Oryctolagus cuniculus: one gene and its partners. The protein of the gene in region 7 purifies or fractionates together with the protein of the main gene of each other region. This does not show direct contact. Links are inferred from orthologs where the notes say so. Each region holds a gene or a part of one and is shown on either strand. Other genes may lie near its edges. The genes, in order: SOS1, AP2A1, ABL1, RET, GAB2, AP2A2 and SHC1.

Evidence for each region.
Region 1: the proteins of SHC1 (region 7) and SOS1 purify together in Homo sapiens (affinity purification with western blotting; 14 studies listed by BioGRID and IntAct, with this or other methods). This does not show direct contact. The link is inferred for Oryctolagus cuniculus from reciprocal best matches to the Homo sapiens genes SHC1 and SOS1.
Region 2: the proteins of SHC1 (region 7) and AP2A1 purify together in Homo sapiens (affinity purification with mass spectrometry; 4 studies listed by BioGRID and IntAct, counting the BioPlex papers as one, with this or other methods). This does not show direct contact. The link is inferred for Oryctolagus cuniculus from reciprocal best matches to the Homo sapiens genes SHC1 and AP2A1.
Region 3: the proteins of SHC1 (region 7) and ABL1 purify together in Homo sapiens (affinity purification with western blotting; 5 studies listed by BioGRID, with this or other methods). This does not show direct contact. The link is inferred for Oryctolagus cuniculus from reciprocal best matches to the Homo sapiens genes SHC1 and ABL1.
Region 4: the proteins of SHC1 (region 7) and RET purify together in Homo sapiens (affinity purification with western blotting; 4 studies listed by BioGRID and IntAct, with this or other methods). This does not show direct contact. The link is inferred for Oryctolagus cuniculus from reciprocal best matches to the Homo sapiens genes SHC1 and RET.
Region 5: the proteins of SHC1 (region 7) and GAB2 purify together in Homo sapiens (affinity purification with western blotting; 6 studies listed by BioGRID and IntAct, with this or other methods). This does not show direct contact. The link is inferred for Oryctolagus cuniculus from reciprocal best matches to the Homo sapiens genes SHC1 and GAB2.
Region 6: the proteins of SHC1 (region 7) and AP2A2 purify together in Homo sapiens (affinity purification with mass spectrometry; 4 studies listed by BioGRID and IntAct, with this or other methods). This does not show direct contact. The link is inferred for Oryctolagus cuniculus from reciprocal best matches to the Homo sapiens genes SHC1 and AP2A2.

Annotation. Positions count from the first base shown.
Region 1 is NC_091433.1:163,753,097-163,757,368, reverse strand, and holds the start of SOS1 (son of sevenless homolog 1), read right to left. Parts: upstream 2,801-4,272; 5' UTR 2,183-2,800; coding exon 2,096-2,182; intron 1-2,095.
Region 2 is NC_091449.1:7,772,822-7,776,823, forward strand, and holds the start of AP2A1 (AP-2 complex subunit alpha-1), read right to left. Parts: upstream 2,801-4,002; 5' UTR 2,656-2,800; coding exon 2,589-2,655; intron 1-2,588.
Region 3 is NC_091432.1:233,356,130-233,360,195, reverse strand, and holds the start of ABL1 (tyrosine-protein kinase ABL1), read right to left. Parts: upstream 2,801-4,066; 5' UTR 2,786-2,800; coding exon 2,626-2,785; intron 1,933-2,625; coding exon of another isoform or gene 1,834-1,932; intron 1,688-1,833; exon of another isoform or gene 1,305-1,687; coding exon of another isoform or gene 1,169-1,304; intron 1-1,168. Other genes in the region: uncharacterized protein, read right to left, coding at 1,834-1,932. UniProt on the Homo sapiens protein: Non-receptor tyrosine-protein kinase that plays a role in many key processes linked to cell growth and survival such as cytoskeleton remodeling in response to extracellular stimuli, cell motility and adhesion, receptor endocytosis, autophagy, DNA damage response and apoptosis.
Region 4 is NC_091446.1:85,322,927-85,326,986, reverse strand, and holds the end of RET (proto-oncogene tyrosine-protein kinase receptor Ret), read left to right. Parts: intron 1-12; coding exon 13-160; intron 161-1,270; coding exon 1,271-1,428; 3' UTR 1,429-3,560; downstream 3,561-4,060. UniProt on the Homo sapiens protein: Receptor tyrosine-protein kinase involved in numerous cellular mechanisms including cell proliferation, neuronal navigation, cell migration, and cell differentiation in response to glia cell line-derived growth family factors (GDNF, NRTN, ARTN, PSPN and GDF15).
Region 5 is NC_091432.1:69,487,453-69,491,652, forward strand, and holds the start of GAB2 (GRB2-associated-binding protein 2), read right to left. Parts: upstream 2,801-4,200; 5' UTR 2,077-2,800; coding exon 1,999-2,076; intron 1-1,998. UniProt on the Homo sapiens protein: Adapter protein which acts downstream of several membrane receptors including cytokine, antigen, hormone, cell matrix and growth factor receptors to regulate multiple signaling pathways.
Region 6 is NC_091432.1:452,252-455,751, forward strand, and holds part of AP2A2 (AP-2 complex subunit alpha-2), read left to right. Parts: intron 1-1,792; coding exon 1,793-1,935; intron 1,936-3,482; coding exon 3,483-3,500. UniProt on the Homo sapiens protein: Component of the adaptor protein complex 2 (AP-2). Adaptor protein complexes function in protein transport via transport vesicles in different membrane traffic pathways.
Region 7 is NC_091438.1:43,538,890-43,543,189, reverse strand, and holds the start of SHC1 (SHC-transforming protein 1), read right to left. Parts: upstream 2,801-4,300; 5' UTR 2,565-2,800; coding exon 2,070-2,564; intron 1,530-2,069; coding exon 1,459-1,529; intron 963-1,458; coding exon 899-962; intron 782-898; coding exon 662-781; intron 434-661; coding exon 380-433; intron 190-379; coding exon 138-189; intron 1-137. UniProt on the Homo sapiens protein: Signaling adapter that couples activated growth factor receptors to signaling pathways. Participates in a signaling cascade initiated by activated KIT and KITLG/SCF.

The DNA of each region.
Region 1 (4,272 bases), on a different chromosome or scaffold from region 7:
GACTCCCTGCTGGTAGACAGTTGGATAAGAATTGGAAGATACATTTATCAGTCAGACTGTACACTTCTACCTCCTCCCATCATTTCTATTCCAAGGGCAACTCTGTTAGAGTCAAAAGCCCCTTTGTGTAGAGGTGGGCGTTTGGCCTAGCTGCTAAGCCAGAGTTTGGGTTCAATATCAGGCCCTGGCTTCTGATTCCAGCTTTTGCTAATATGGACTCCAAGAGGCAGTTGTGACGGCTCAAGTAATCGGGTTCCTGTCACCCACATGGGAAACCTGGAGCTCCCAACTCCCAGCTTCAGTCCTCGCCATTATGAGCACTGGGAAAGTTAGCCAGCAGAGGAGAGCAAGGTGTTCTCTCTCACTCTCCCTCTCTCTCCACTGCCCAAACTTTCAAGTCAATAAACACCTAAGCATTGTTTTATGTAAACAAGCAAAGGGGACTGCTGAGGACTTTGTAAACGCCAATGTGCACCTGTCTAAAGACGGCAGCTATCCATGCACCCGCAGCAGGTCACTGGCTGGCTTTTCACGTGGGACCTGAGTGGAGAGATTTTTCTTCAACAAAAGCTGTGAATTCAGATTTTGTGTAATATCTCCCATGTGTAAACACTTAACAATAAACAACACTGTGCCAGCCAAACAAAACTCTTCTGAGGACAGATCCCAGCAGGGCCCCCCACGTGGCAGACAGTGAGTCTGCCAATTCTAATGCCATTCTTTGCACTACTTCCAAGGATCCTCAACCCACAGACCGGTGGTTCCCCTGGGATGGGACCTGTAAGCTTCTAAGCAAAATGACCCCAAGTGAGTAATGCTTCATGAGGCTTTTTGGGTATGTTTTCAGACAACTGTTTTATTTTCCTCTACCCTGATGGAACACCAGCTTCTAGCACCACTGTGACCTCCTACTCCCCTTCTATCACAAGAAGACACACTTGCAGGCAAAGCACAACTAAACAGATGGAGAACCTGGTAGGAGTTCTAATGAATGAAGTATACCGATAACACACACACACACACACACACAAAACACACTTTATTAGAAAACACCAAAGAGATGTTAATGACTAGCCAAACATTTGAGGGGGAAAAGTTGGTAGTTCAATCCTTAATATATGAGCAGATTTTGCTAACTAAGTAGGTTCCACTGTAAGACTGCAAAAGGGGGAGGGGGAGACCAGGGCAAAAAAAGAAAGTAAAAGCTTCTGGCCTTGGATAAACTCAGACACCTTTTAAGACACTGTGTTCAAGTGGAAATGTTTACCATGAAAGACTAACCATAACCCCAGCCCTCAGGAGGAGCAAAGCTGTATTTTAACCAGATCTCATGAAACATTCTTTGGGCAACAAGAAACTGGGATTTAGACACACAGTTGAAAGCATAAAGCCACCCCACCAGAAAAGGAAGAAATGAAGAAAAGGAAACGAAAACAGTCCAGTTGTTTTTAAACTCACACACCAGTTTCTGATGTTTTTAACGTGCAGTGTTTGTCACAACGTTGCTTTACAAACAAAATGTAGCAACATTTCCTATATAACTTTAGATAACAATGTGGCCAACGTAAACATACAAAACAGAGGTTAAAAATTCTAACCCAAATGACATCACCAAGATTTTCAACCGTCAAAAAATAATAAGTCTGAAAATACTGGCATGTGTAGCAGCTCCTCGTTAATCGGAGGGGGTGCCCAGGAGAACGCAGAGGGAGCAAAGCAGGCCATGCTGCCGCCGGCAGGCAAGCTCGCAGCAAACATGATGGCCAGAGCGTTATCGGGCCAGTGAAAGGAGCGTCCCGGACACTTCAACCGGGAGGCTGACAGCAGCTCGGCAAAGAGACCGGCCAGGAGGAGGGGTGGCCTGCGCTGACCTCCGCTGAACCCCGGGGCTCCCCCGACTGCTGTCTCCGACCCTCTCCCCGCGGCCTGCCTTCCCACACACCGGGGCACGTCCCCGCCGAGCGCCCGCCGGCTGCGGAGGGACCGGGAAGAAAGGCGGCCCTGCCCGCGCGCGCCCCGCCTCCCCGGCCGGGCTCCGACCCGGCGCCCGCCTCGGGGGCTGCGGCCGGGCAGCGGGGTTCCCCGCGCTCCTCACCTTCTTCAGCGCAGGCACCAGCAGCCCCCGCCACTTGGGCGCGTTCTCCTCGCTGAAAAACTCGTACGGCAGCTGCTGCGCCTGCATGGTGCCCCCGGGGCGCCTCTGGGCGGGGAGAGGGGCGGCGGCGACGGCCCGGCCGGGAAGCCGCGAGAGGGCGAGCTCGCAGCGCGGAACAGGGCCGCGGCCCCTCCGGACGGCCCGGCCCCCTCGGGGCGCCGCACGGCCGGGCTAGCCCCGGAGAGGCGGCTGCGGGACGAGGCCCGCGCGCGGCCACCCGCCCGACACCGGCACCAGCCGCGGAGAGCGAACACGGCCCGGAGGTGGCGGCGGCGGCGGCGGCATCCCGGCCGCACCACCGCCCTGGGGCCAGGCCCCCCGCCCCTCCCCGGCCCGCCGGCGCCGCCCCGAGCTGCCCTCCGCCGCGGCCGCCGCCCGCCCGCCCGCTGCCGGGGCTACGCTCCGCTCCGGGCCCGGCCTGCCCGGCCGAGGAGCTGGCGGCAGGGGGAGGGCGTGTGGAGGGGCGCTCCTGCCGCGGCGCCCGCTCGCCCAGCGAGGACTTCGACACGCTAGAGTCTTAGAGCGGGAGGGAGCTCGGGGGCGAGGAAGGGCCCGAAGTCGCCGCTGGGGTTCCGGCCGCCGGGTTGCACCGCGGCCGCCGCCGCCGCCGCCGCCGCCGGTGCAGCGCTGGAGCTTCCTACTAGCGAACTGAACCTGCGCGCTACTGAGCATGCGCCGCCGGGCTGGGCCGGTTCCCTCCGGGTTTTCCGGCTCCCGGTGAAGGAGGGAGGGCGAGGGAGGGCGCCGGGCCCGGCTGTGGCTGCGCTCCCGGGGGCTGCAGGGGAGGGGCGGTGGGGCCCGAGAAGTCGAACCCTGGCCGAATGGGGCCTGCGGGTGGGGGTGGGAGGCGAGCTGTGCTGAGACGGCCCCCATTGTGTGGCCGCGCCGCGAGGGATCCCACCCCTCTCTTGGAGTCCCCGGGCCTTGGTTTCGGAAAGGGGTGTGTGTGTGTGTCTGGGTCTGTGTGTGTACTTTGTTCCCGACCATGAGGATAAGGGCTGCTCGGAGCGTGCAACGTATAGTAAACAGACTGCACAAAGATAGGTTTCCCTCTGCTCAGTATTTGTCAGGTGGCAGAAGCGACTGCGATGTTTCCAGCCGGCCTTTCCACAGCAAGGGTAGAATGGGTGTTCAGGTTCAGCCTGCGCAAACCCACATCAGACAACCAACTCCAGTCAGTGCTTCCCTGCCCTGGAAAGTGGGACATCATACGCGGTTCCCAGGTTCCAGAGAACCTCACTTGGTCTGTTTTGCGTTTTCTATCTTCCCCGGCATTTTGGTTAGATCGTGAACGCCTGCAAGGCAGATCTTTTTCTCCAGGGAATGCTTGTGGAATGCTAAAGGTGCAGTGTATAAATTTGTCCCTCGGTTCCAGGGCTGCAGATGTTGGTTTCCAATACCACTGTTGGGTAGACACCTCGTGGTTTTCATTAAACACTAAAGTATCGCTCCCTGAGCCCTCACAGCAATCATGTTTTCATTTCACAGAGAAGACAGTGCAGAGGACTAGCCTGGGTTGAGCTGGCATTTGTGTCCTGCTGGTCCATGGAACAATAGCCAGGATCCCAAAGCTGAGAAATGTTTAAGCGGTGCATCTTAATCTTTACAGAACTTCTCTGAGAATCTGAATCAAGTCTTGGGCTTTTTCCTTTTAAAAATGGGCATGCCTGATTTACACTTTCAGAAGTGTTCAGTGACATTTTGAAACCCGTCAGTCAGTCCTCTGGAAGAGGAGAACCTACATTGTTTGGAGTCGAGTTGGGGGCGTCTCAGTGGAGAACGTGTTAGACCCCTTCCACTACCTACAGGGCTGATATAGGTGAAAAGGCTTTGTGTGGTTCTAAAGGAGTGAGCCTACACTGGTGGTCTGCTGCCAACTATTCCTTGGCTCTTCGTTGCTCTTAGAATACATTTCAGGCCAGCGCCGCGGCTCACTAGGCTAATCCTCCGCCTGCAGCGCGGGTACACCGGGTTCTAGTCCCGGTTGGGGCGCCGGTTCTGTCCCGGTTGCTCCTCTTCCAGTCCAGCTCTCTGCTGTGGCCCAGGAAGGCAGTGGAGGATGGCCCAAGTGCTTGGGCCCGGCACCCTCATGGGAGACCAGGACCAGGAGGAAGCAC
Region 2 (4,002 bases), on a different chromosome or scaffold from region 7:
CGGGTGGACGCCTGGCACACTTGCTGTGTGCTGGCCCGTGGGACAGGTGCTCCACAGGGCAGGGGCCCCGTCACCCACAACAGTGCTCAGCACTCAGCAGGTGCCCACTGAAGACCCCTCCCTTCATCCACGCATTCAGTCAGGGAACAAACTTATCCTGAGGCCTCCCGCAGCCGGCACAGAACTGGGGACCCAGCCAGCGCCCCCCTCAGCAGCCTGGCCCACCGCTGGGGCCCCAGATAGCAGGCAGCGGGGCCGGGCCCAGAGCAGCTCCCTGTCAGATAACTGACTCGGCAGGATCCCGCTCCAGGCCCTCGGGCCAGGCCTCTCCCCCTCTGCATGGGCAGAACTGGCCCTTCCTCTCCCTTCCTCTTCCTCTTTCTAGATGCCTTCCAGACACCCCCCCCCCCCAGCTCTGAGCCCTGCCTCGTCCACCCCTCTCCCCATGATCCGCTCTTGCCTGGAATCACCCCCCCACCCCCACCCCGAGCTCTCAGGACAAACACCAGCCTGGCCCTGCCCACCTGGCCAGCGTCAGACACGCAGGCCTTGCTCAGAGGCCCGGGCCGGCCTCAGGACCTTGGCACCTGCCAGCCTTCTGCCGTCCCCACGTGTCTCCACTACACGTGGCCTGGCTCGCTCCCCACATCCTGCCCGCGCGGCTCCCAGCGGCTCCGGCGAAGCAGAGCCTCCCTGGGCTCTCTGGCCAGACACAGCCCCCGTTCTCTCAACGTCACGGCCCTCACTGGCCTCAGGACAGCGGCAAATGCCTTCCACTCTCCAGGGAGAAAAGTGAGCTCCAATTCACAGGCCGCGAGACGCACCCTTTGAAAGCGCACAGTCCCATGGCCTCCGGACACTCAGAGCTGGGCAGGCAGCCCCCTGCCCAATCCCAGGACGCTGTCACCCCCGAGGAGCCCGCAAGCCGGGGCGGCCACTGCCCTGTCCTGCGGGCCACCTCCACGGAACCAAGTGACAGAGTCCTCAGGGCCCAGTGGCCGGTACTCAGCCTCTTCCCGGGGTGGCCCACCACGTCCAGCCTCCACGCCTCCTCCCCCGTGGGGCTGGGAGCCTCGGGGTCCCCTGCACCATCACGAACCCCAGAACACAGCGGCGCAGCACACCACCGGCTGAGAAGGGACAGGGCCCTCCCTGACGGGCTCCCCCGCGCCTGGTGCTGGGGCCCCACCTCCCGGGGCCTGTGGGACACCTTCTTGTCATTCCTTCCCCAGCCCCCCAAGCCCTCAAAACGAACCCCAAACCCGACCAGTCCCCTCTCGGCCCTGCGGGGCATCGGCCTCGCCTCCAGCGCCGGTTTCTCTCCCAGCAGCCGCGGGAATGATTTTCAAACAGGGGAGACTGAGGGCTCACCAGGGCCCTGGCCACTCTGCCTGCCGCTCGCTCCCGTGAGCACGGCCCAAGCAGGCGGCCGCCCCAGGACCCGGCAGCCCCCCCCCCCCCCCCGTTATCCTTCTTCTCGGCACCAGCCCGGTCCAGCAGGGCCTCGTCCCGCCTTGCCCGCCTTGCCTTCCCGCACCAAGCAGGGAGCGAAGTTTGCAGACAAGAACACCGGGCCCCAGAGGGTTAAATGATGGGCGAGGGCCCCCCTCCTCGCAGGGCCCCCCGAAGCGCCCGCACCCCCCTGCACCCCCTTTCTATCAACCACACCATCCCTCCCTCCGCTGACACCCTACGGCCTCCCTAGTGCTCACGGTGCACCTGCCACGCACTGCTCAGCTCCGGACGCGCCCCGGGCCCTCCCCGATGCAGCCGCACCTGCCAGGGCCCCGCGAGGGCTGCCCCCACCCTCCGCCAAGGTCACTCAGCTCCCGGAGCTGCTGCCCTCGAACCCAAGCCCCCGCGGACGGCGCCAGCAGCCGCTCCCGGGAACTGCCCGGCCGCCGGGATCACAGTCCCCAGACAGGGAAGGGCTCCGACCCGGGCCCGGCCGCTCCCTGACCCCTGACCCCTCGCTCTCTCTCCAGGACCAGGCTTCCCGCCCCCGCCCCCAGGTTTGCAATCTCTCCCACAAGCCCTGAGCACCCTGACCCCTCCTGGAGGCCTGGGCACCCCCCTCTGACACGGGCCCTAAGCACCCACTCCCCGGGCCCCCGATCCGGGAGTCCCTCCTGCCCCCTCTGGCCCCTGTCCACCCTCCGCCGGCCCGAGGCCCTCCCCAGCGGCTCTCCGCGGCCCCCGCACTCCTGCGCCGCCCATCGCTCCCCGGTCCCGCTCCGTCCCTGACACCCCCTCAGCCCGGCTCCCGTAGGCCCCCCGCGCAGGGGTCTCCGAGCCAGCATCTGTAAGGGCGCCCCTGCCTCTCCACCGCTCCCGGGGGGCACCTCCACGCCTCCGTCCCCGGGACCTGTCCAACGTCTTCCCCTTCCCGACCCACCCGGGGCCTCGAACCCTCCGCGTCGTCACCTCCTGAGGCGCCTCATGACACCCCTGCCCCCTCCCCCCGAAGTTCCCCCCGCCGCCCCTGCAGGGGCGCTGGACCCCGCCCGGTCCCTCGGTGACCCCCAAACCCCCGCGTTCCACGCTGCCCCCTCCCCCGCGTCTCCCGTGTCCCCCCGCCGCGAGCTCACAGTTCCGGATGTCGGAGATGAATACGGCGAGCCCCCGCATCCCATCGCCCTTGGACACGGCCGGCATGATGGCGGTGGTGTCGGCTCCAGGCCTGGCCGGACGGGGCACGGCACAGCGGGCGCTGGCAGGCGGGCACCGGGCGGAAAGGACCCCCAGGCAGCGCCGAGGAGCCGAGCCGGCCGAGGGGGAGGGCGGGCGGGCGGGCCGTGGCACCGCCCCTGACCCCTCCCCGCCTCTTCGCCCGGGGCAGCTCTCGGCTGCCCATTGGATGTGGAGACTGCCGCTCAGACGCGGGCTCGCCCCCGACTCCCTCTTCCATTGGTCTCAAGGCAAAGGCACGCCACTACGATTGGTCCAGTACACCGCTATTTCCGTTCGGGAGCGAGGGGGAGGGGGCGTTGCCCGAGAGACGGGCGGGGTTCCATTACGCACTATAGGACCGCCCCCTTCGCGCGGCCGAGTCCAGCGCTGATTGGATCTGGCCCCTCTCCACGGGGAGAGGGAGGGACGGAAGGAGGGCGGGGGAGAAAGCGCATGAGAAGGCGGGACTTGGGTTGACCGGAACCAATGGGCGGGTAGACCGCCCCCGCAGGCGTCGCGCATTCGCGGGGCGTGTCCTGCTTCCGCTCTCTATTGGACAGTTGTGGGGGCGGGCGAAGCGCGACCATTGGTGGAGAAGGAAAAAAAGAAGGGGGTGTTATTCAGCTGGGCTGGGATAGGTGGAGCGAGGCCTGCAATTCCCTGCTGCAGAGCAGGGGCTGGGCGGGGCGAGACGGCGTGAGGTGTCGACTGCGCAGGCGTCAATGTGTGGCCTTTGCCCCGCCCGCAGCCCTAGGGCCCTAATCCCCTTCCGGGAAGCCTGGCTGGGCCCTGCCTCGCTGCGCGGCCCCCGCGTGTGGATCTGACGCGTCGGGAGACCTGGGCTCCCGGAGGGGCAGGACCTGTTGTTACTCCGTCCTGGCGAGAGGCTGAGTGACGCAGACGTGGAGGAACCCGAACTTAATCCTATTTTAGCGTCTCGCTGCGCATGCTCCGCCCCCTGTCCCCGCCAGCCGCGATGGAGCCGGACGACCCCGGTGGACAGCGGGCAAGGGGCTGCGGCCCGACCCTGCCGCCCCACGCCGCCTCCCGGGGGGCTCGGGCCCGTCGGCTGCCAGACCCCCGGCGCCCCGGGCTGCTGAGAAATTTGGGGCCAAGGGCGCGGGGAGGGCCGTTCCTCCAGCCCTGGACCTGCCGCCCTCCTGTGACCTGGGGAGCGGGGCCTCCGGGAATGAGCCCGCGGGGTGCGTCTCGGGCGCTGGCGGTCGGGTCGGGGGTGCAAGCGGGAAGAGCAGGTGGATCCGTCCGCCGGGGCTGCCTGGCTTGGGGGCAAGCCCGTGCTGGATTCTAGGATGGCCAGCTCAGGCTGTGCAC
Region 3 (4,066 bases), on a different chromosome or scaffold from region 7:
CAGTCCCAGGCTGGGCCAGGCCAAAGCCAGGAGCTGGGACTGCATCTGGATCTCCCATGTGGGTGGCAGGTGCCCAAGCACCTGGGCCATCGTCTGCCGTCTCCCAGGATACACCCATCAGCAGCAAAAACCCGGAACCTGGAGACAGCTAGGACTCAAACCCCAACATTCCTATACAGATGTGGGCATCCCAAGGGGCGCTTAACTCACTGGGCCATGACGCCTGCCCCCCAGTTAAGGTGTTTTTTTTTAAAGATTTATTTATTTTGAAAAAGTAACAGAGAGAGGGAGCTTCCAGCTGTTGGTTCACTCCCCAGATGGCCGCGACGGCCAGCACTGGGCCAGGCTGAAGCCAGGAGCCTCATCCGGGTCTCCCACATGGGTGGCAGGGGCCCCGGGGGTCGTCCTCTGCTGCTTTCCCAGGCCATGAGCAGGGAGCTGGATCAGAAGTGGAGCAGCCAGGAACCGACGCTGCACCCACAGGAGATGCCGCATCACAGGTGGCGCCCCCTCCCACCCAGGATACTATGTTAAGGTAAAGGACACGAACGAACGAAGCTGATTCAGTGGTCCGACCTCTGTTTCAGACGGCGGCCAGGCGACCCCTGCTTCACCCCCACAGAATCACTGGAGGTGAAGAGAAGACGCCCACAGGAACGCCAGAGCGCCCAGCGTCCCCCTGCACCGGGAGAGAAGCGGGCGCGGGCTCCGGCCGCGGGGAGTTCCGGGCTCAGCCCCCGAACGCTGCCTTCTCCCGCAGAGCCGGGGAGCGTCTGCGGGCCCCACTGCCCTCCTAAAGGCCAGGGGGTTCCGTGTCAACTGAGACCTGAGGTTCCCAAACCGTGAGAACAGACGCGGGCTCGCTAAGGACCCACGCGAGTCGGGGAGCCGCCGCGAAGAAGCCAGCTAACTGCCACCTGGTCGGGAAACGGAGGCCCCGGGTCAGCACCAAGGGGACGCGGCGCACGGCTCGGTGTGCAGGGGGCACGCAGGCACCAGGACACCGTTTCCAGGACTAAGCGGGTTCCACGCGAGGCTCCGGGACCACCGCGAGCGCCCAGCGGACGCGGCAGGCACGGGCACCCGCGGAGCCGGCAGGCACGGGCACCCGCGGACGCGGCAGGCACGGGCACCCGCGGAGCCGCCGGGACGCGCCCGCGACACTCACCGTGCTCCACGAAGACGTTGCAGTGCGGGCCCCCATGGCGCGCCGAGTCCTTCTTGCCGGCTCCTTTGATGAAGTGCAGGGCGGGCAGACTCGGCCTTCTCTGGTCCCCAAGAACTTTTCCAGGCTGCTGCCCCATAAAGTTAGCGCGGGGCTCCCCTTTCCAGAAGAGGGTCCAGGAGCTTCCGGAACGGTCGGTGGCCTCGGCGGGGCCTTCCACACTCAGCGCATGCCCGCCACGCCACGGCGGCCCGCACGGGCAGTCGCGGGCAGGCACCTGCCGGGGGCTCCACGCATGGACACGGGGGGCCCGCTGACTGTTCCCAGCCTCGGGCTTTGGGGAGTAAGGTGATTCCCACACTCCCCAAAGGTTTCGCCGTCTTTAAGGATACTCCACTGAGTGAACCACGCTTTTTCTTTTTTGGGAAGACGCACCTAAGCAGAACTATTCCCGGAGCGGTGGGGCGCAGGGCGACAATCCCTTAGTCCTTCCGGCAGCGTCGCGGGCCCCGGGGTGCTCGCCCGCGCCTGTCCCCCAGCAAAGCTCCCGCCGGGCCGGGCCGGGCCGGCTGCGCTCCGGCTCCTCGCTCTCCCCGGCCCTCCGGAAAAGGACGCGCGGGTCAGCCGGATCTCGGCGCGCTCGGCACGGAATGCATGGCCAGCAACTTTTAAGTCCGCTTTTTAAAAGGCCTGTGAAACCAATCCAGGCTCTTCCTTTGCATGGAAGTTTCTGGCTGGGCTGAGACCAAGGGGGCCGTAGGTGACATTGGAAGAAGTCAGGGCATCAGAGGCTGGCGGGGGCAACCTGGCGGGCCATGGGAGGCCACCTGACAGCACGCAGCGGGTCTGAATGGGGGTCTCCGGCGGCCAGCCTTGGGGCCGGCAGCGGGAGCGGGGGGCGACTCCGGGGCGGGGCACGGGCGGCTTACTCGGGGGGCGACGCTTCTCCACGCCTCAGGAAACGGGGGCGTCCCACGTCCGGAGCGAACAGAGACCACCCCGGGGGGGGGGCGTCCCAGAGCCGCGGCGGGGCTGCAGAGACGAAAGACTCGCGCGGCCCGAAGGCGGGAGACGGGCCGACGAGAGAGGAGGCCTGGCCGCCTCAGCTGCCCCGAGCCCGGGGGTCTCTGCCCGAGACACCCCCGTCCCGCGGCCCCGGACGCTGCCGCCGCCGCCAAGCAGTCACATCCCCCGAACTCCGCCGAGGGACCCCGCCTGCCCCCCGCCGGTAGGGGCCGTGGGCCACGAAGGGGCTCCTCAACCGCAGCACCCAGGAACCGGCTCCGACTTCGGCGCTGCTCAGGGACAGTGGCCGACCCCCGCGGCCGCCATGATGGATTACGAGCCGCTCCACAACGAGGCCAGGCCCCGCCCCCGGCCCCGCCCCCCGGCGCCGTCCGGAGCCCGCCTCGCGTGGACTGGGATGCCCCCGGCGCCGCTTTCCTGGGACCCCGTCGCACCTTCTGGCTCTGGCCTCAGTGCCTCGCAGGAGCCCGGCCCGGGACGACCTTTTAAAGGCGACTTTTCCGAGTGCAAGGTGAGTGGTAAGGAAGCGCCCGCCTCCCCTGTACTGCGATTGGCCTCCGAGGATCCTGGCCAGGCCTCTCTCCTCCATCCCATTGGTCGACGCGGGCTGGCATGCTGGAGGCTTCGGCCAATGGAAGTCGGCGCAGCCCGCGGGGCGTGCCGGGAGTTGTAGTCCCGCGGCGCCGAGGCGTCCTGCGCGCTGCTCCCGGCTGAAGCGCTTCTGGCCGTAGCTCTCCGGAGCCGGTGCTCTCGCCGGCCTCGCGTCGGGCTGGCCGGCGGGGCGCCAAAGCAGGGGCCAAGCTGTGGATCGGATTCTCCGAGAACCGGAGTCGGATTCCTTCCTGGAAACCGGGGGATTCGGTGCGCTCCGCCCCTGCGCCCTTGCAGACCCCGGCGCTGGAGAAGACAGGGCCGCAGGGGCGGCGCCCGGGCAGGAGCAGCGCTCGCCCCGGGCCCGGGGCCGGCCTCCGTCGAGTGCGCCGTCGCCTTGCGCCCCGGGGCCGGCTCCCCGAGTGCGGACGCGGAAGCGGGCTGGGGTTTCCTCCTCTCTGCCGTGCGCCCCAGGCCTCGGGACGCTGCCCCCGCCGCGGGGGCGCCAGGGGTCTCGCAGGGGCTTCCGCTGGGCTGGGAACCGGCACCGGCTTCGCGAGGAGAGGGCCCCTGGGGTCCCTGGACGCGCAGCAGGTGGGGCCCTGAGGGTCTTCGGGGCTAATCGCTTGGGCTTCGCGCGGGCGGGCGGCCCTGACCGGCGGCATCGGTCCCTCCCACCATTGACCCTGCTCAGCGCCCTCACTTTTCTTTAGTGGGGGGGCGGGGGGTGGCGTTTGCTTTTCCTGTGAGCCCATGCACGCTTCACTCACTTCCTCCACGTCTTCGTCCTCCAGTTTGGCTAAAATCCGGGTAATCGAATCAGAACTCCAACAGACGCACCCAGCAGGCGTCCGGCGGTGCTGGGTGCCGCGGTGGACACGCTGCCCTCGCGCTCAGAGCGCGTGTTGCGAGGGGCAGGGGCCGTCTGGACGCTGGGAGTCTCATCTCGGACCCGGCACCTTTGCCAGCTGCTCCCCCCTGCCCGCCGACACCTTCCCAGGGGACCCACCTGGCTCCTTCACCTGCTCGTGGGGCTCGGGGCTGCTTCCCTTACGAGGTCATCCTGAGGTCCAAACGAGACCTGGCGTGGGTTTCCACGGAGACGGTGACTGAGGCTCCCGGAAGTCACTGTGGGCTGCACCTGACCTGAAGACTTGTCCTGGTCTCCATTCCCAGTGACAGGAGAGCCCCACGCCCTGGCCGTACCTCTCTCCCTGGAGATGCACTCTGCTTTATAACCCCCCGTGTAACACCACAGAATGATGTCTTTAAGGGCTTGTACCT
Region 4 (4,060 bases), on a different chromosome or scaffold from region 7:
TCTGTCTTCCAGGACTACCTAGACCTGGCCGCGTCCACGCCGTCCGACTCGCTGCTTTATGAGGATGGTCTCTCGGAAGAAGAGACACCCCTGGTGGACTGTAATAATGCTCCCCTCCCTCGCGCCCTTCCTTCCACATGGATTGAAAACAAACTCTATGGTAGAATTTCACATGCCTTTACTAGATTCTAGCAGCACTGTCGCCCTCTGCCCTCCCTCTGCTGTCTGTAACGCTTTCCTAAGAGTGTTTCTGATCTCAACGAAACCAAAGCCCGCTCTCAACCCTTTTCATTTGTAAGTGTCTTGACTCTGCACCCAGTTTACACTTGGGCATTTTTGCAACTCTGTTTTTCCAAAAGGATGTGAAAATAAGCCTCATTGCCATGAGGAGAGAAAGGTGGGAGAGAGGGAGGGAGAGAGATGGGGCCAGAGCACTCAGGGGAGGTTGAGAAAAACCACAGGAATGTCCCATATGGGGTGGGAAGCAGGCAGTGGCCCTGCTGATGCAGGAGGGAGCAGCCAGTGTCCCCAGCCTGCACTGGGGGGCCCCAGGGGCACCTGTGGGACCAGCAGGCAGCCCCACTGCCACCCCCAGCCGCAGGAGGCAGTGGGAGGGCGCCCCCGCACGGCTGTTTTCACATCCTTTGCCTTCCCCACGTCTTTGACTGTTGTCACTCATGAAGCCAGTGCTAAGAGCTGGTCTGTGGTGCCGTGGTGTTGCGATGGACAGTAAATACCGGTTCTTGCCAAAACTCCTGCTTTCGTCTTCGATGAAGTCCTTGCCATTTCTCCTGTTTCCTAACTCCCCTCCTGGTCCGTTTTGAGATCTCGGCGTCGCGAGCCATGTCTCAAGAGTGTTCCTCCCGCATAGCCTCCTGACTCACTGCCTGAGTGCCCACAACCCTGCAGGGTTGGCCTGCATGCGCCCTCAGTGGGGAAGGTCCTCTCCTCCGGTGTCGGCCTGGACGAGCGGCGAGTAGGCTCCTTTGAGTCAGAGAACATTCTAGAGAGCGTTCCCACTGCCCTAAGCTGTTGAGAAAAAAAATATATATATGTATATATATATACATTATACAGTTCCAATCCGCATCTGATTTGAGATGGAAGCTCCTGAAAGTCAAAATCACGTGCTACTTGGGAACCCGGAGCAATGGTCCCGGGACCCGCGAGTTCGGTTTGAGCCCCTAAGGGAGTTTTGCCAAGGCCTTGCTGTCTACACGTGAAACGCGGGGTCTTCGGTGCAGAGCGAATGATGTGTTTTCATTTTTAGGCATGTCAGACCCGAGCTGGCCCGGAGAGAGTCCTGTACCACTCACGAGAACTGATGGCACTAACCCTGGGTTCCCAAGATATGCAAATGATAGTGTATATGCTAACTGGATGGTTTCACCCTCAGCGGCAAAACTAACGGACTCCTTTGATAGTTAACATTCCTTTGGGAAAGGTAACGGACTCGCCAGGGGGAAGAAACAGGCCAAGCGTGGGAAGCCACCAGCACCGGCTCCTTTGGTGCACATCACACTGGCCAAGCCAAGTTCAGTTGCCAAGGTGGCAGACTCGTTCCCGGTAGTTGGTGGTCACTGGTCCCCCCAAGCGGTTTTGACCCCAGTAAGCCGGTGACTTTTCCCCCGCACCAGACCACGTCCCCCCACTGGGACGAGGGTCCCGAGACTCCGTGGCTGAGCAGTCCCTTCTCAGCGCCCTGTCGGTGTGTGACCCTCTGTGACTGCCGTGTGCTCTGTGTCCCCCTCGTGGGTCTGCCACTACCTTGTATAAGTGATTGTACCTGAACTGTCTGCTTTTTATGGTTGCCGCCAAACAGAGCAACAAGGATTAAACATGAAGCACACAAGCACACATGCACACACATACACACCTGTACACACGAGGCAGGAGGGACGCAGTGGGGCCAGAGTGACCCGTCCCTGTTCAGGCTGAGAGCCCGGTATGGGGCTGGGTGGTGGTGTCACAGTCTTCCTCCTGCCAGGGCTGGAGGGGATGTGGGGGTCTCAGGATGGGGTGGGGGGCTGGGGCCGCGGTTCAGCATTTGAGGTCCCGAGAAGGTTCTGTTTTTGTTTTGTTGTTGAAACCATGTAACCTTCTCTTAGAAAGACGTTTAGTCATTATATCTCAATACCAATGGTTCTTAGATTTAGCACAATGGAGAGAGAGTCGCTTGCTATGTCGGTAGCAGCGGCCTTGGGGGAAGAGGGCTCGCAGGTAGCAGCGGCGTGGGGGAAGAGGGCTCGCAAGACCCGTCTACCCGTCCTGGGCCCGCTGCACCACCCTCGCGTGTTCAGTCCCGAGTGACCAGAACCGGATGAAGAAAAGGGAGTGTCTGGAGTTGCAGTGGTCTCCAGTCCCAGGACCACTGACAGCACAGGCCTCTGCTGTCCCCACCCACCACTGGCCTGCCCCTGCACCAAGAAAGCAACTGCAGCTCGGATTGCGTGCTGGGAGCTGGTGGGGCCCCTGTTCACTCGGCTTGGTGCGGTAGCCACTTAGCCCCAAAGGGACAGATCTGGCTGTGTTCCAAGTAGCCCTGGCAGTGGCCCGGGCCGGGCCCCTCCCTCTGGGCACATTCTGGAATGAAGAGACCGCGTTTGGCTCTTGTAGAGCTCCCGCCACAAGCTCACGGGTCGGCTCTCCCTGTGTTTCTCATTTGATGCTGCTATAAGCAGGGCGTGGTCTGTTGCTTAGATTTGTGACCGTGCCGCCTACGGAAGCTTCTTCACTGTGGCCACATGCATTCGCTGCCTTGTGGGGGAGGGGCTGTGTGGCTCTTGGGAAGTCCCAGCAGCTCTTGCGGCCGGCTGAGCCTTGTCACTGCAGGAAAGGGGTGGTTACTAAGACACGGCCTGATCCTCAGACTTCAAGCGCTGTGATAGGACTCCTGAGAGTCTTGTTGAAAATACTGTACTTCGTGGGTGTTTCACAAAGGCAGTGCAATCTGGCGTTTGGGGGTGGCCAAGAGAGCTTGGGCGGGGACGCGAGAGAGCCTTAGGGTTACGTGTGTGCACACACAGGAAGACAACTGGCAAAGTGTGTACTGGACCTGTAGCCCGGCTTTAGTTTGAGCCACTTTTCAGATACACTGTGATACATTCTTTTGCAAATACCTAGAAGTCTAGAAGTCGTGGTGAACTTGATGTTCAGATGTGCTTAAAGAGAGTCTTACCAAATGCAGACGTAAAGAGGCACTCTCCCTTTCCAGTGCCTTGTAGCTGTGGCAGGTTTATTCTCAGCGGGATGAGAAGTCTGGGTCTTCCCGGCTGACCCAGTGTTGGGGAACAAACCCCTGACTAATAGTCCAGTTGTCTGCTCCTGAGTTATAGAAGTGTGCATCCTAACAGTCCCAGCAGACAAAATTCTGACCACGTAGATGCAGACTTGACTAAGTATCCAGTATTACTGAGTGTTAAGTAGTAACCAGTTACTGAAATTTGTAAAACCCATTATGCAAAGGTATTCAATCATACCCTGTTCACTTGGTTTTTTTTGTAATCAAGGTGACTAAGAAAACAATTTCAGTTGTGTAAATAAAATTATGTAACACAAAATGTGTCAGCTTTCTTTTCTCTGGAACTTCCTCCTTGCAAACTTCAGATTTCTGATGCTTCAGTGTTCCGTTGCAAGAATTAAAATGTTGCCAGAAACTCCTGATAGCTACTGGGGCCATCCACCGGTGGCCCAAGGGCTAGGGCTTCCTGCTGTCACTGGTTCGTCCCACATGACATGCACACATGCATGGGAATAGGCTGTCAGTTCAGCCAGCTCCACTGTTCAAGGAATTCCTTCCTTCAGCTTCTCTGCCGGGAATAAAACAGCAAACATCAGGTTTAGTAGTTTGCTCCCTGCTGATGGTCTTAAAAGGTTTTTTTTTTTTGTGAAATTATTTATTCGAGAGAAAGAAGAGAAAGAGTGAGAGAGAGTTCCCTTTCACTAGTTCTATCCCCAAATACCCGTAACAGCCCGGGTTGGCTTAGCTAATATGGGGAGCTGGGAAATCAATCCAGGTTTCCCTGTTTAATGGCAAAGCACTCTTTTTTTTTTTTTTTTT
Region 5 (4,200 bases), on a different chromosome or scaffold from region 7:
ACATCACATTCTAGCCTAAGGAAAGCTGCTGTGAGTCTGGTCAGGAGCCTGCAGCGGCATAGAAGACAGGTGATAGACAGGCTGAGACCCGCCATCTAGGGCGAGTCAAGTGGTTTAGACGGTTATTTTGAGCTAACTGTTGTTTGTGAACACAAATACCCATGAAATGGGTCATAAAGGCAGTCTGAGTGATAGCACCAAAGTAGTCATCAATCAAATGTAGATACAATGTCAACTTGCTTGTTTGCAAATGGTTTTAAAAACAAAGTTTCAAGGTTCCTTAGGGTAGTGTTCTAATTTGAAGAGTCACATTTCTTTCCTCTTTTTTTTGGGGGGGGGGGGACAGGATGCTATTCCACTAGTTGGTATGGTATATCTGAAAGCTCTGTAGGACAAGGTATTTTTTAAAATATTTACATAAATGTTAATAGCAAAGGACTTGTTCCTTAACCCTAATTAAAACTCAATTTTCTGAGTAAACTGATAAAACCCTAAGAAGGAAAAAAGTTTCTCTTAGTGATTATAATACTTTGCTTCACACTGACACCCCAAAATGAGCTTTATAAAATGGTGAGACACATTTCGCTGCCTCATCCCCACTATGTTAAATCTGTGTCCACTTTCAAATGTCATGTGCTAAATCCTTAGATTTTTTTTTTCCCCAACGAATGATCTAAGAGCTTGATTTCATTGACACACACATTTGCACTCCCCAACAACAACACTTCCTTTGAAAAACAGAATGTCACTTCCTCAGTCCAGAGGCCAGCAGTCCCTTGGTTCAGAACTGGGGAGCCAAGACAGGAAACTCTGGTAAGCTCCTGCCCCCCGCCCCCCGCCACGGGTGCAGCTGACAGAGGGCAGGGTCTGTTCAGAGCTCCCTTGATGCACTGCAGCTGGAAGGCGAGGCGCCCTTCCAGGCTGTGGGAGTGAGCCCTGAGCCCAGCACGCACATCGGTGCAACAAGGACACAGCCTGGGATGCGAGCAGGGGGAAGATGGGAGACCTTGACACCGTTCTTTGGCAGCCTTCCTTCCGTTTTCCAAACTCCTTGTGACTACCCTGAGGCTGATTGCAGCCGAATCTCAGGACCTGGCACCATCTTGTACTTTGACCTCACCACACAAGGCACCCTCTGGCTAGGGGGAGAAAAACCCAAACTCCTCACGTCTCAGCTCCCGACTGTTCCACCTGGCCCGGTGCTGCCGGCTTCTTCCCTGGAGGGGAGTGGCTGCCCCGCGGTCTCAGTAAACAACGCCGGTTAGCACCACCTGGCAACCGAAACCCTGATCTCCCCGACCCCAGACGCCCAAGGGCGGCACCTCAGCCAACCGGGGCCAGTTATTAGCGGACCAAACTGCAGTGTCACCATGGGGGCGGGGAGGGGGGGACGGAGGGGAAGGCGAGAGATACACAGAATAAAGGGAAAGAGGGGACAAACAAATGAGTCACTTAACACACGAGCTGCACATGCCGCTGACGCCGCCCGTGATGCGGCGCCCGGGGACGGAGAGGAAGCCGCGGCCACCGGGAGGGGCCGGCAGAGAAAGGGCAGGGGAGAGGGCTCGAGGCGCCCGGTTCTTTGTGGGGCCCGCGCCCCCTCGCCGCGGGCTGAAGCCGCTCCGGGCTTGCGAGGGTGCCCCGGGCGCGGGAATCAACTCTCACGGTCTCCGAAAACAATCAATACAAACTTCCACACCGGATTTAGTTCACACCGAGGCTGGCTGGGGAGGCGCGGCCGACGCGCCCGCCGAGCCGACGAGCCGCAGCCTCACCCCGCTGGCACGGCCCGCCCCGCCCCTCCGCGGCGCACCTGTGACAGGTGTGCAGGTGCCCCACGCGCCGGCGAGCCGCGGGGCGCGCCCGCCGCTCCTCGCCCCCCAGAGGACGCGGGGACCCGCCCTCCCCGTCGGCGCCGCCCCTCCGGAGCCCTCAGCCCCTCGCAGGCCCGGGGCGCCCCGAAGGTGCCGCGCCCGCTAGCCGCCCGCCCGCACTCACATAGCGCCTCAACTTCTTCTCGGGGGGCGATTTCCTCAGCCAGCCGGTGCACACCACGTCGCCTCCGCCGCCGCTCATGCTGCCGGCCGCCTGGAGCCCGCCGCCGGGACGCGGCGACAAGGGCGCGGGCGCGGGCTGCTGGGTCAGCCGGCCGGCGGTGCGCAGCTCAGGGAGGGGAGGGGCTGGCGGCCCGCGGCCACGGGCGAGCGTGAGGACAAGGCGGCGCGGCCCGCCTGCGGCGCGCGCCCGAAGCCCCGCGCGCGCACTCGCGCACTCCCGGCCGCGGCGGGGCGCCCCAGCAGGAAGGCCGGAGCGTTGGCCACGCCCACTGCCCGCCGCGCCCCCAGTAGGGCGGCCTCGCCGGACGCTGAGGACGCCCGGCAGCTCCGGGCTCGGGAGGCCGGAGGTCCGCGAGCGCGCGGAAAGCCGTGGGGCCGCGCCCCCTGGAGTCTTGCTTTTTTCCCCCAAGCCTCGGGCAGCGGGCGGGGGAGGCGGCCGCGCCCCGGGGGGCGGGGGTGTGGTGGGAGGCGGTGATTGCCCGCCATCGCAGATTGATTTTGCGTGGAGTGTGGAGAGAGAGGGGATCTGCGGGCCGCTCGCCTTCCCGATCCATTCCCAGAGTTTCGGGTTGCAGAGGGTCAGGTTCCAGTTGAAAGGAGTGACCTGCTTTTCTGCAGGCGTTTCAGGGACTCGCGCACACCCGTGGCGGGAGCAGGAAAGCCCGAAACCAGACCTACTAAGTGCAGGGGAGCTTTTGCATTCATCATTTACATGATTGTCTCTGCATCTACAAACTGGGCGGGCGGTATTAGGACCGTTTCACCGTTCGCCTCAGGGCCCAAAGCGAGCTCCGGGCGTAGCCGGGTTTCTAATTCAGGTGTTGGCGGGGAGGAGGGGTCGGTCCCGCTCCTCCGCTGTTTCAGATGGGTGAATTGCTTTAATGTCTGCGGATCCACTTGGGGGCCTCTTACTGATAGGAAACCAAGTCCAGCTGGTGCCCTCCCACATTGCCTCTGGGAAAATGGAATTCAGTAGAAGAAAACCCGGATGGTTTGTAGCATCAGGGAATCAAGCATCGGTCCGTGTATTTCATGGTGAATTGGAAGGCAAGGTGGGGCAGAACAAGAAATGGTGTCGGGGCCGGATCCGTGGCTCACTTTGTTAATCCTCCGCCTGCGGCGCCAGCATCCCATATGGGCACCGGGTTCTAGTCCCGGTTGCTCCTCTTCAGTCCGGCTCTCTGCTGTGGCCCGGGAGGGCAGTGGAGGATGGCCCAAGTGCTTGTGCTCCTGCACCGGCATGGGAGACCAGGAAGAGGCTCCTGGCTCCCCTGGCTCCTGGCTTCGGATCGGCGCAGCGCCGGCCGTGGCGGCCATGTGGGGCGTGAACCAACGGAAGGAAGACCTTTCTCTCTGTATCTCTCTCACTGTCTAACTCTGCCTGTCAAAAAAAGAAAGAAAGAAAGAAATGGTGTCAACATTCCCAGAGTTCCAACTCATTGAGGTAGACCTTGAGACTTCTGTGTAAACTGGGATATAATGATAGCCTCTCATTGTGATTTAACGGAGGTAAATAGTGTATGGAAGCACACAGGGAACTCAATATTTCAAGGGGGGTGGGAGGAGCTGTGTAGGAGCTTTTATTTTTTTTTTTTTAACTCAGTTCCTTTATAAGGAGCATTGAAAGGTAAGTCTTTCCCTAACTTCTCTGAGAAGGGGACAGTCACCATTTTATCAGTGTGAGAAGCAGGGTGCCGCTCCCTTGCTACCTAGACTAGGCTATTTTGCTCATTTCTCCATCTCCATGCATTTCAGTTTGTTGTTTCAAGCAGCTGGACATCATCTGAATCAACAGATACTGGTTGGGCTGGAGCAAGTTCACCCCTTTCAGTTTGCAAATGTTAGCCCCCTGCTATGTGCTCAGCTCTTCTAGACATCCTGGAAGGTTTCGCGATCAGCACCCCTGGGCCCACCACTTCACTGTCTTCAATATCCGGTGTGCTGTTATATAAAATACAAAGCCAGAATGATCAGGCTACGTTCCAACTGTTCCAACTCAGGGATTCTTGAACCGTATGCGAGGGCTACCACTAGAATTATGGCCATTTTAAACTTCTGGCTTTGTGAGACATAAATATCAAAATGGTCAGCCAAACCGTCACTCCCAACCAAAATAAAGCAGTCCTTCTGACTTCACTCACAT
Region 6 (3,500 bases), on a different chromosome or scaffold from region 7:
TGTGGAGTCTCTGGCCTGCTGTGGTCGGGGGGAGGTGACGCCCCTCCTTTCCCATGGCTTGTCCTGAATTTTTGACATGGAGGATAGTCTAGGGTAGGTTGTCTGCTGTAATTAATAAATGTATTTAAGGGCCGGCGCCGCGGCTCACTAGGCTAATCCTCCGCCTAGCAGCGCCGGCACACCGGGTTCTAGTCCCGGTCGGGGCGCCGGATTCTGTCCCAGTTGCCCCTCTTCCAGGCCAGCTCTCTGCTGTGGCCAGGGAGTGCAGTGGAGGATGGCCCAGGTGCTTGGGCCCTGCACCCCATGGGAGACCAGGAAAAGCACCTGGCTCCTGGCTCCTGCCATCGGATCAGCGCGGTGCGCCGGCCGCAGCGCGCCAGCCGCGGCGGCCATTGGAGGGTGAACGAACGGCAAAGGAAGACCTTTCTCTCTGTCTCTCTCTTTCACTGTCCACTCTGCCTGTCAAAAAAATAAATAAATAAATAAATAAATAAATGTATTTAAAAGGTGTGGCAGGGCCAGCCCCGTGGCGTAGTGGGTGAAGCTGCCACCTGCAGTGCCAGCATCCCACATGGGCACCTGTTCAAGTCCTGGCTGCTCCAGTTCAATCCAGCTCCCTGCTATGGCCTAGGAAAGCAGTGGAAGACGGTCCAGGTGCTTGGGCCCCTGTACCCATGTGGGAGACCCAGAAAAAGCTCCTGGCTCTGATCGGCCCAGCTCCGGCCATTGCGACCATTTGGGGAGTGAACCAGTGGATGGAAGACCTCTGTCCCCCTGCCTCTCCCTCTGACTCTGACTTTCGAAATAAATCCAAAAACTTTAAAAAAATAAAAAAAGATGTTGTTTGTGGCAGGCGTGTGGTGCGGTGGGCCCAGCCTCCCATATCCGAGTGTCTTTTTGAGTCTCGGCTGCTCCGCTTCCAATCCAGTTCCCTGCGAACGTTCCTGGGAAAGCAGCAGAGGACGGCCCAAGTGCTTGGGTCCCTGCACCCATCGGGGAGACCTGGATGGAGTCTTGGGCTCCTGGCATTGGCCTGGCCCAGCCCCAGCTGTTACGGCAATTTGGGGAGTGAGCCAGCAGCTGGAAGATCTCTGTTTTCCCCCCTCTCTGCCTTCAAAAAAATACACGAACGAGTACATCTTTTTTTTTTTTTTTTTTTTGACAGGCAGAGTGGACAGTGAGAGTGAGAGACAGAGAGAAAGGTCTTCCTTTGCCGTTCGTTCACCCTCCAATGGCCGCCGCGGCCAGCGCGCTGTGGCTGGCGCACCGCGCTGATCCGATGGCAGGAGCCAGGAGCCAGGTGCTTTTCCTGGTCTCCCATGGGGTGCAGGGCCCAAGCACCTGGGCCATCCTCCACTGCACTCCCTGGCCACAGCAGAGAGCTGGCCTGGAAGAGGGGCAACCGGGACAGAATCCGGCGCCCCGACCGGGACTAGAACCCGGTGTGCCGGCGCCGCTAGGTGGAGGATTAGCCTAGTGAGCCGCGGCGCCGGCCCGAACGAGTACATCTTTAAAAAAGAAAAGATGTTGGTTCACGGCAGGATTTGCAAATTCCTTGGCTGCAGGTGGGATTGTGGAAGGTGTGAGGGAGGCCGGGCCGGCTCGGCGGACTGCCTTGGCCCAGGGTTGTCTGGGAGGCAGAACCCGCCGTGCCAAGTGCTCTGGTTCTAAGAAGGAAGCCCCAGGTTTGTGCTCGGACGCAGCGCTGGTTGGAAGTCGTGTGGAGGGGAGCCCCCTGTCTGCAGCCGTGTGGACGGGCCCTCGGCCTGCGCTGATCTGTTCTCTTCTGCAGGTGACAAGGCTCTCGACGGCTACAGTAAGAAAAAGTACGTCTGCAAGCTGCTCTTCATCTTCCTCCTTGGTCACGACATTGACTTTGGACACATGGAGGCCGTGAACCTGCTCAGCTCAAACAGATACACGGAGAAGCAGATCGTGAGTGCCTCGCGGGGCCGCGGGGGGCAGCCCCCACGAGTGTGGACTGGCACGGCGTGGAGCCACCTCTCGTGGGTGCCTCATGTGTCCACCCTTCCGTGGTCACAGGCAGTTTGTTTCTGAAACAGGTGCCAGGTTAGGTTGCCCCCGGCCCCAGCCCGCGCCCCAGCCCGTGCCCAGCCCGCTCACGTTTCCGGAGCTTTCTCAGGGCTGCAGTCTTGGCCGGCCGTGTTCTCTTGTAGTCCTGTTACTTCCGTGTCTTCCACGTGATGAAGTCACGTGTTCGTATTTGTGAAGAACTTGAACTCACAGCGGTTACAGCACACTCCGTGCCTCAGGGTGTGCAGTCCAGTCGGCCCTGCGTCCACGGGTACGGGGCTGGAGACCCTGGGAAAGCAGTCGCGCCTGTGGCAAGCAGCGCAGGGTCCCTTTGCCGTCACCGCCCGGCGGCGCGGCGTGCAGGTCTGTGTGCAGCGCTTGCACTGTGCTGGCTGTGCAGGTGCCCGGCCGTGCTACAGAGGGCCGTGCCCCTCAGGGGAGTCCTGGAGCGAGTCCCTGTGGTGCTCAGGACTGGTGGCGTTGCTGTCTGTCCCGCAGTGCACCAAGAGGCCTGCGCTGGAGACCCTTAGTAACTGAAGGCCGATGGGGTCGCGCCCTTGTGCAGTGGGGCAGCGGCATTGATGTAGAGTTGCAGCGTGAGGGGGGACCCGAGGGAGGAGGGCGGGCCTGCTGGACCGTGGCCCGGCGATGGCGTTGCCTGGATCAGGTGGGAAGCGCGCAGTGGACACAGCAGACACATCTGACAGGCTGCACGTGGAGGAGACCACGTGGCAGAGCTGGCAGTGACCCGGGCTGCGTTCTGGGCAGCTGGATGCGAGGGGTGGCAGTGACCGTGCAGGTGGGGTGACTCTGGGGACACAGGTTCAGAGGGACAGACGGAGTAGGCAGCGTTTCTGGGAATCCCAGTTTGTCACTGGGTGATGTGGGTTTGGGCTGAGCAGTGTGGGGGGGGTCTGGTCTCTGAGGACATCAAAGCCAACTTGTCCCAGAGCAGTGCTGTCCTGTTGCGGGCCTTGGACTCCTCCTCATCCTCCTCTTCTTTCTCCTCCCTCCTCCTCCCTCCTCCTTCCCCTCCCCCTCCTCCCCCCTCGTCCTCTCCCCTCCCCCCATCCTCCTCCTCCTCCTCGTCCTCTCCCCTCCCCCCCATCCTCGTCCTCCCCCCCTCAGTGTGGCGATGCTCCCAGCTGCATGGAGCTCCCAGCTGCGTGGAGGGCACAGCTGTGCGGAGGGCGCGGCTGTGTGGAGTGTGGAGGGTGCGGCTGTGTGGAGTGCGCGGCTGCGTGGAGCTCCCGGCTGTGTGGAGTGCGCGACTGTGTGGAGGGCACGGCTGTGCGGAGTGTGTGGAGTGCGCGACTGTGTGGAGGGCACGGCTGTGCGGAGTGTGTGGAGGGCGCGGCTGTGTGGAGTGTGGAGGGCGCGGCTGCGTGGAGCGCACGGCTCGCTCCGGTGGTCACGAGCCTCTGTCCTCGTGTCCTCTGGAAACACAGGGCTACCTCTTCATCTCC
Region 7 (4,300 bases):
GGGGGTGTGGGGGACTGATCCTCCTCAGCAGAAGCCCCTCCTCATCTCTGCTCGGTGAGAGGGGAAGGGCGGCCCTGGTCCCCCTCACCTGCCGCACCGCCATCCCGCCCCACCCAGTGCGCCCCACCATGCCTCACCTCTCTGATTCACGGGGTCTTTGGCAACGTAGGCAACATACTCGGCTGTGTCCTAAGACAGACAGAGTGAGAAGGGGCAGGTTAGCTAAATTCTACAGCTCCACCTTACTCCTGATGCCTAAACCCAGTCTTTTTCAAATACCTCTGCAACCCTACCTCCCCCACTGCCCTGGCTGATGGCTTCCCAATCCTTAGCCCCTTCCCCTCCCCCCCCCCAACCTGTGCTCTGTTCCCCAACTCACCGGATCTCCGCCGGACGCAAATGAGATAGACTGCATGTGGTGGTTGGCAATGATCTGAGAATTGGCACGGGGGATGGAAAAGGAAAAGAATGGCATGTGTCAGCCCCCACCCCTGGCCCAGAACCCTGCCGTCCCAGCCTCATTCTCTTAGCTTCTCACCCTAACTTCTTCCTACCTTCTGGCTACTCCAAAGCCCTCCACCTTAGTTTTTGGCCTCACAACTACATCTGCCCCTAGCCCTACCTCCCATGTCTCTGGTACCCCCTACCTAACCCCACCAACCTGTTTACAGTCTGCGGCCATGAGGTTGAGGCTGCTGGTGGAGACGGTGAGAGTGATTGGCATTCCAGCAAATTTCAGGTTACTCCTCCCCAGGATAGAGCTGAGCGGGCGGCCACAGGGCTAGAAAAGGCCCAGAGTCTCAGAAGCCGAGGGTTCCCGACACCAGGAAACACTTCTGCCTTCCCCTTGCCCCTCCACATCACCCAGCACCATCCCAGCCCCAGCCACCCCAGGTACCTTTCTCCTCCGTGTGGCTCCCTTAGCACCCGGCACAGCCTCACACACCAGACTGATGGCCTCCCTGGGGAAAGAGGGGTGCTCAGACCCACAGGCTGCCTCCCACTCGGCTGGGGCTGCCACAGGGCTGGGGGAGGGGAGGGCCAGGCCAGACTCCCAGGGCACTCCAGGCTCTTTGTCGTGGTGGATTGAATTAAGGGCCTTTAATATTTGATGACACTGAGAGGCCGCTTCCTGGCTGATTGGGTTAGGGCCTCAATGGGTACGGCCCCACCCCCTTCCAGCCACCAAACCTCCCATTCCCTTCCCAAAGGCAGCAGCCACCACCGGTCTAACCCCACTTTCTGCCCTAGCCCCACAACTCTAAAGGCCGGAGAGGTAACAAGGATCCAGCCCAGAGGTGTCTCTTTTCAGTCACACTTGGACTCACTGTCCCAACTTTCTCTCAACCCACCTGCCCACCCACAGGTAGGCCACCTGCACCAAGGGCCCCACTCCCCATTCCCACAGCCTTACTAACCCCAGGACTCCCACAAGCCCTCCCCCTCCCCCCCACTAACCTGGTGACCTGCGTCCGGGTGTTGAAGTCGAGGGCACGCATTGACTGCAGGACCTCCACACAGCCCATGTACTGAGGGGAGGGGGACAGCAGTTCAGCCACCTCCCCCCACCCCAGCGCTAGGGCCCTAGGACTTTTCCCTCCATAGTCCCTAAGGGAAGGAAAGCTGAGGCAGCTCGCTCACTGCCCGCAGCTACATCCCACAATGTACAAGACAACGGGGAGTGAGGAGAGAGAGAGAGAGAGGACAAGCTGGGAGCGCCTCATGCACTGGGGGAGACTGGAGGGCAGTGCTGGGCACTGGGTGGGATGGGTGACACCTCCAGAAGCGGGAGGGGTCCACCGGGGGGAGTCCAGGAGTCCTCATGCCCACACTCGCCTCCGAGGTGCTGGGCATTGTGCGAAGCATGGCAGGGTGGGGGTGGGTAGGCAAAAGAAGGAGGAGGGCCCTGGCAGAGCTGGAAGAGGTCAGAGATCAGGCAGAAAGGTTAAGAAGCAGGACGCGGCGACAGAGGGGCTGCTGAGGGAGAGCAGGAGGAGTCCCACAAAGCTGCCGCGAGCAGAGGAGCTGCAGGGGTATGGGAGGGAGTGCAGGGGAGGATGTTCACTCACCCGAACCAAGTAGGAAACCCCAGGTCCCATGACTTTGTCGTTGGGATGCAGCCAGCCCCGCGTGGGCTTATTGACAAAGCTCCCGTGGCGGGTCCACTCCTCGCCCCCCAGCTGGCCCCCTTCCACCCGAGTCCTGCGCCCGCCGCCTCCACTCAGCTTGTTCATGTCCTGGAGGAGGGGCAGGGGGCCTGAGTCCGGCATGGCTGCCCCTGTGATCCCCTCCCCATCCTCGGCTGCCCTTCCTGGCTCCCCCTTGGGCCCCAGGCGGCCCCCAGCAGGGTTGGCCAGCTTCAGGTTGCTCATCCGGGGGAAGAAGGAGCACAGGGTGGTGGGACTGTCGTCCCCGGGCAGAGGGGGCAGGATTGGCCCCAGGGACGAGGCTGAAGGGGAAGGCAGCTCCTCCGGAGGGGTGGACCCTGAAGCCCCCTCTTCCAGCGACGACAGAGACTCATTCCGAAGTGGGTTGTACTTGGGCTTGGGGGGCAAGAGATCCATGGCTGGGGCGAGAGCAGGGCTGCTGCCCGGCCCGGCCCCCCTGCCAGCTGGGGCAAGGGGGCCAGGCAGGGGGCATCCCCAGGCCCCGAGCCTGCCGGGCCTCTGTGGCCCAGGAGGGGCAGGAGTCCTGGGGAGGGAGAGGGGCAAGTGGCTTCCGCTCCCCCAGCTCAGACCCAGACAGTTTCAGGCCCCATCCCCGCCCAGCGTGGAGCCTCTTCTCTGGCAGAGAAGAGAACAGGCTGGACCCAGAGCTGCCTGGCTCCTCCCCAGGGGCGGGGAGCTAAGGAGAGAGACCAATCCGGAGGACAGTGCTGACTCACAGGCTCAGAGGGGCTGAGCCCCCACTGCCGCCGCCCCAGCCCAGAACTCAGGCAGGGGCAGAGCTATCCTGCCCCTCTCCCCTACCCTAAACAAACAACTAGTGATCTGGGGGAGAAGTGGGAGTTTGGAGGAAAGGATGGAGGAGGAAGGAGAGGAGGGAGATAAGAGACGGTCTGGATCAATCCAAACCGGACATGGGCAGGAAGTCAGGGGAGGGGAGGGGGAATGAGGGAGGAAACAGAGGCAGCTGGGGGTGGAAAAGGGAGGAGATCCCAGAGCTCAGCATTTCCCTTCCTGTCCTGCTGGAACACGCAAATTCCTCCATGGTCCAGCCCAGGCCACCCCTCATCACTGCCACATCCAGTGGGGTGAGGGCCCCAGGGAGCTTAGGCCATTAGCATCCTCTTCCAGGGCAGCTGTGGAATGGAACTAGGGAAATGGGAAAAGGAAGGAAGTGGTCCCAGTGGGTGCACACTGGGACCCAGAGGAAGGGCAAAACTTGGGAAGTCAGGGAAATAAAAGCCCAACCCCAGGGGGCCACCAAGGAGCCAGCAGGCTAGAGCTGCAGCCAGAGGACGTGTGGGTCAAGCCTCCTCCTCTGCTCCTGGCACCCACCACACCAAGCAGGCAGTGGCCAGTGGCCAAGCACTGTTCTGCACGCTGGCAAGGGTGAGGACAGGGCAGTCCCTGGGCCCACCAGGTATCCTCCCAGCCCTCCTCCAGCAGTGCCCCTCACACCAGGGGAGGAGTCACCAAGCGATGGAGGTCAGGAGGCAGGCAAACATGTGGCAGTGAACCATGTGCGGAGAACAGTCCCAAACCTCCAAACCTCCGTGGCTTCCTGCCACAGCTCTGCTTGAGGAAGCCTTGGAGGAAGTTGGAAAATGACCAAAACACAAGAAGTAGATACCTCTTCCCCTAGGCTCACCTCGGAATTACCCTTAGCTCTAAGTCAGAAGATTAAAAGAAATCTATAACGATGACCAATTCTAGCACTTAAAATGTGCTAGATACGCTCTCACCTCCTCTTCGTCCTCATGGCAGGAGAATCTGTCACTCTATTTCCTAAGACCCCAGGCCGAGAGAAGGAAAGGTTTCTTCCACAGCCACACACACACACACACACACACACACCCTCATCCTTAGGGTCAGCACTCTCTGGAAGCCTGCAGTATGGGCAGGCAGAGGATGACCAACAGGTGTGAGCATTTCAAAGAAAAGAGGGAGTCTGTCTCTAAATTTGCATAGGGAGAAGTGAGAGCCTACTGGAAGTTCAGGTGATTGGGTGTTGGAGGGGGGAGCCCAGCAGGGAGGAGGCGGGAGGAGCGGGAAGGGGCAGGAAATGGCGAAAGCCTGAGGAATGTTTCCAGCAGGGAAGGCAGGACAAGTGGAGCCAGGAGGAATGCCCAGACAAG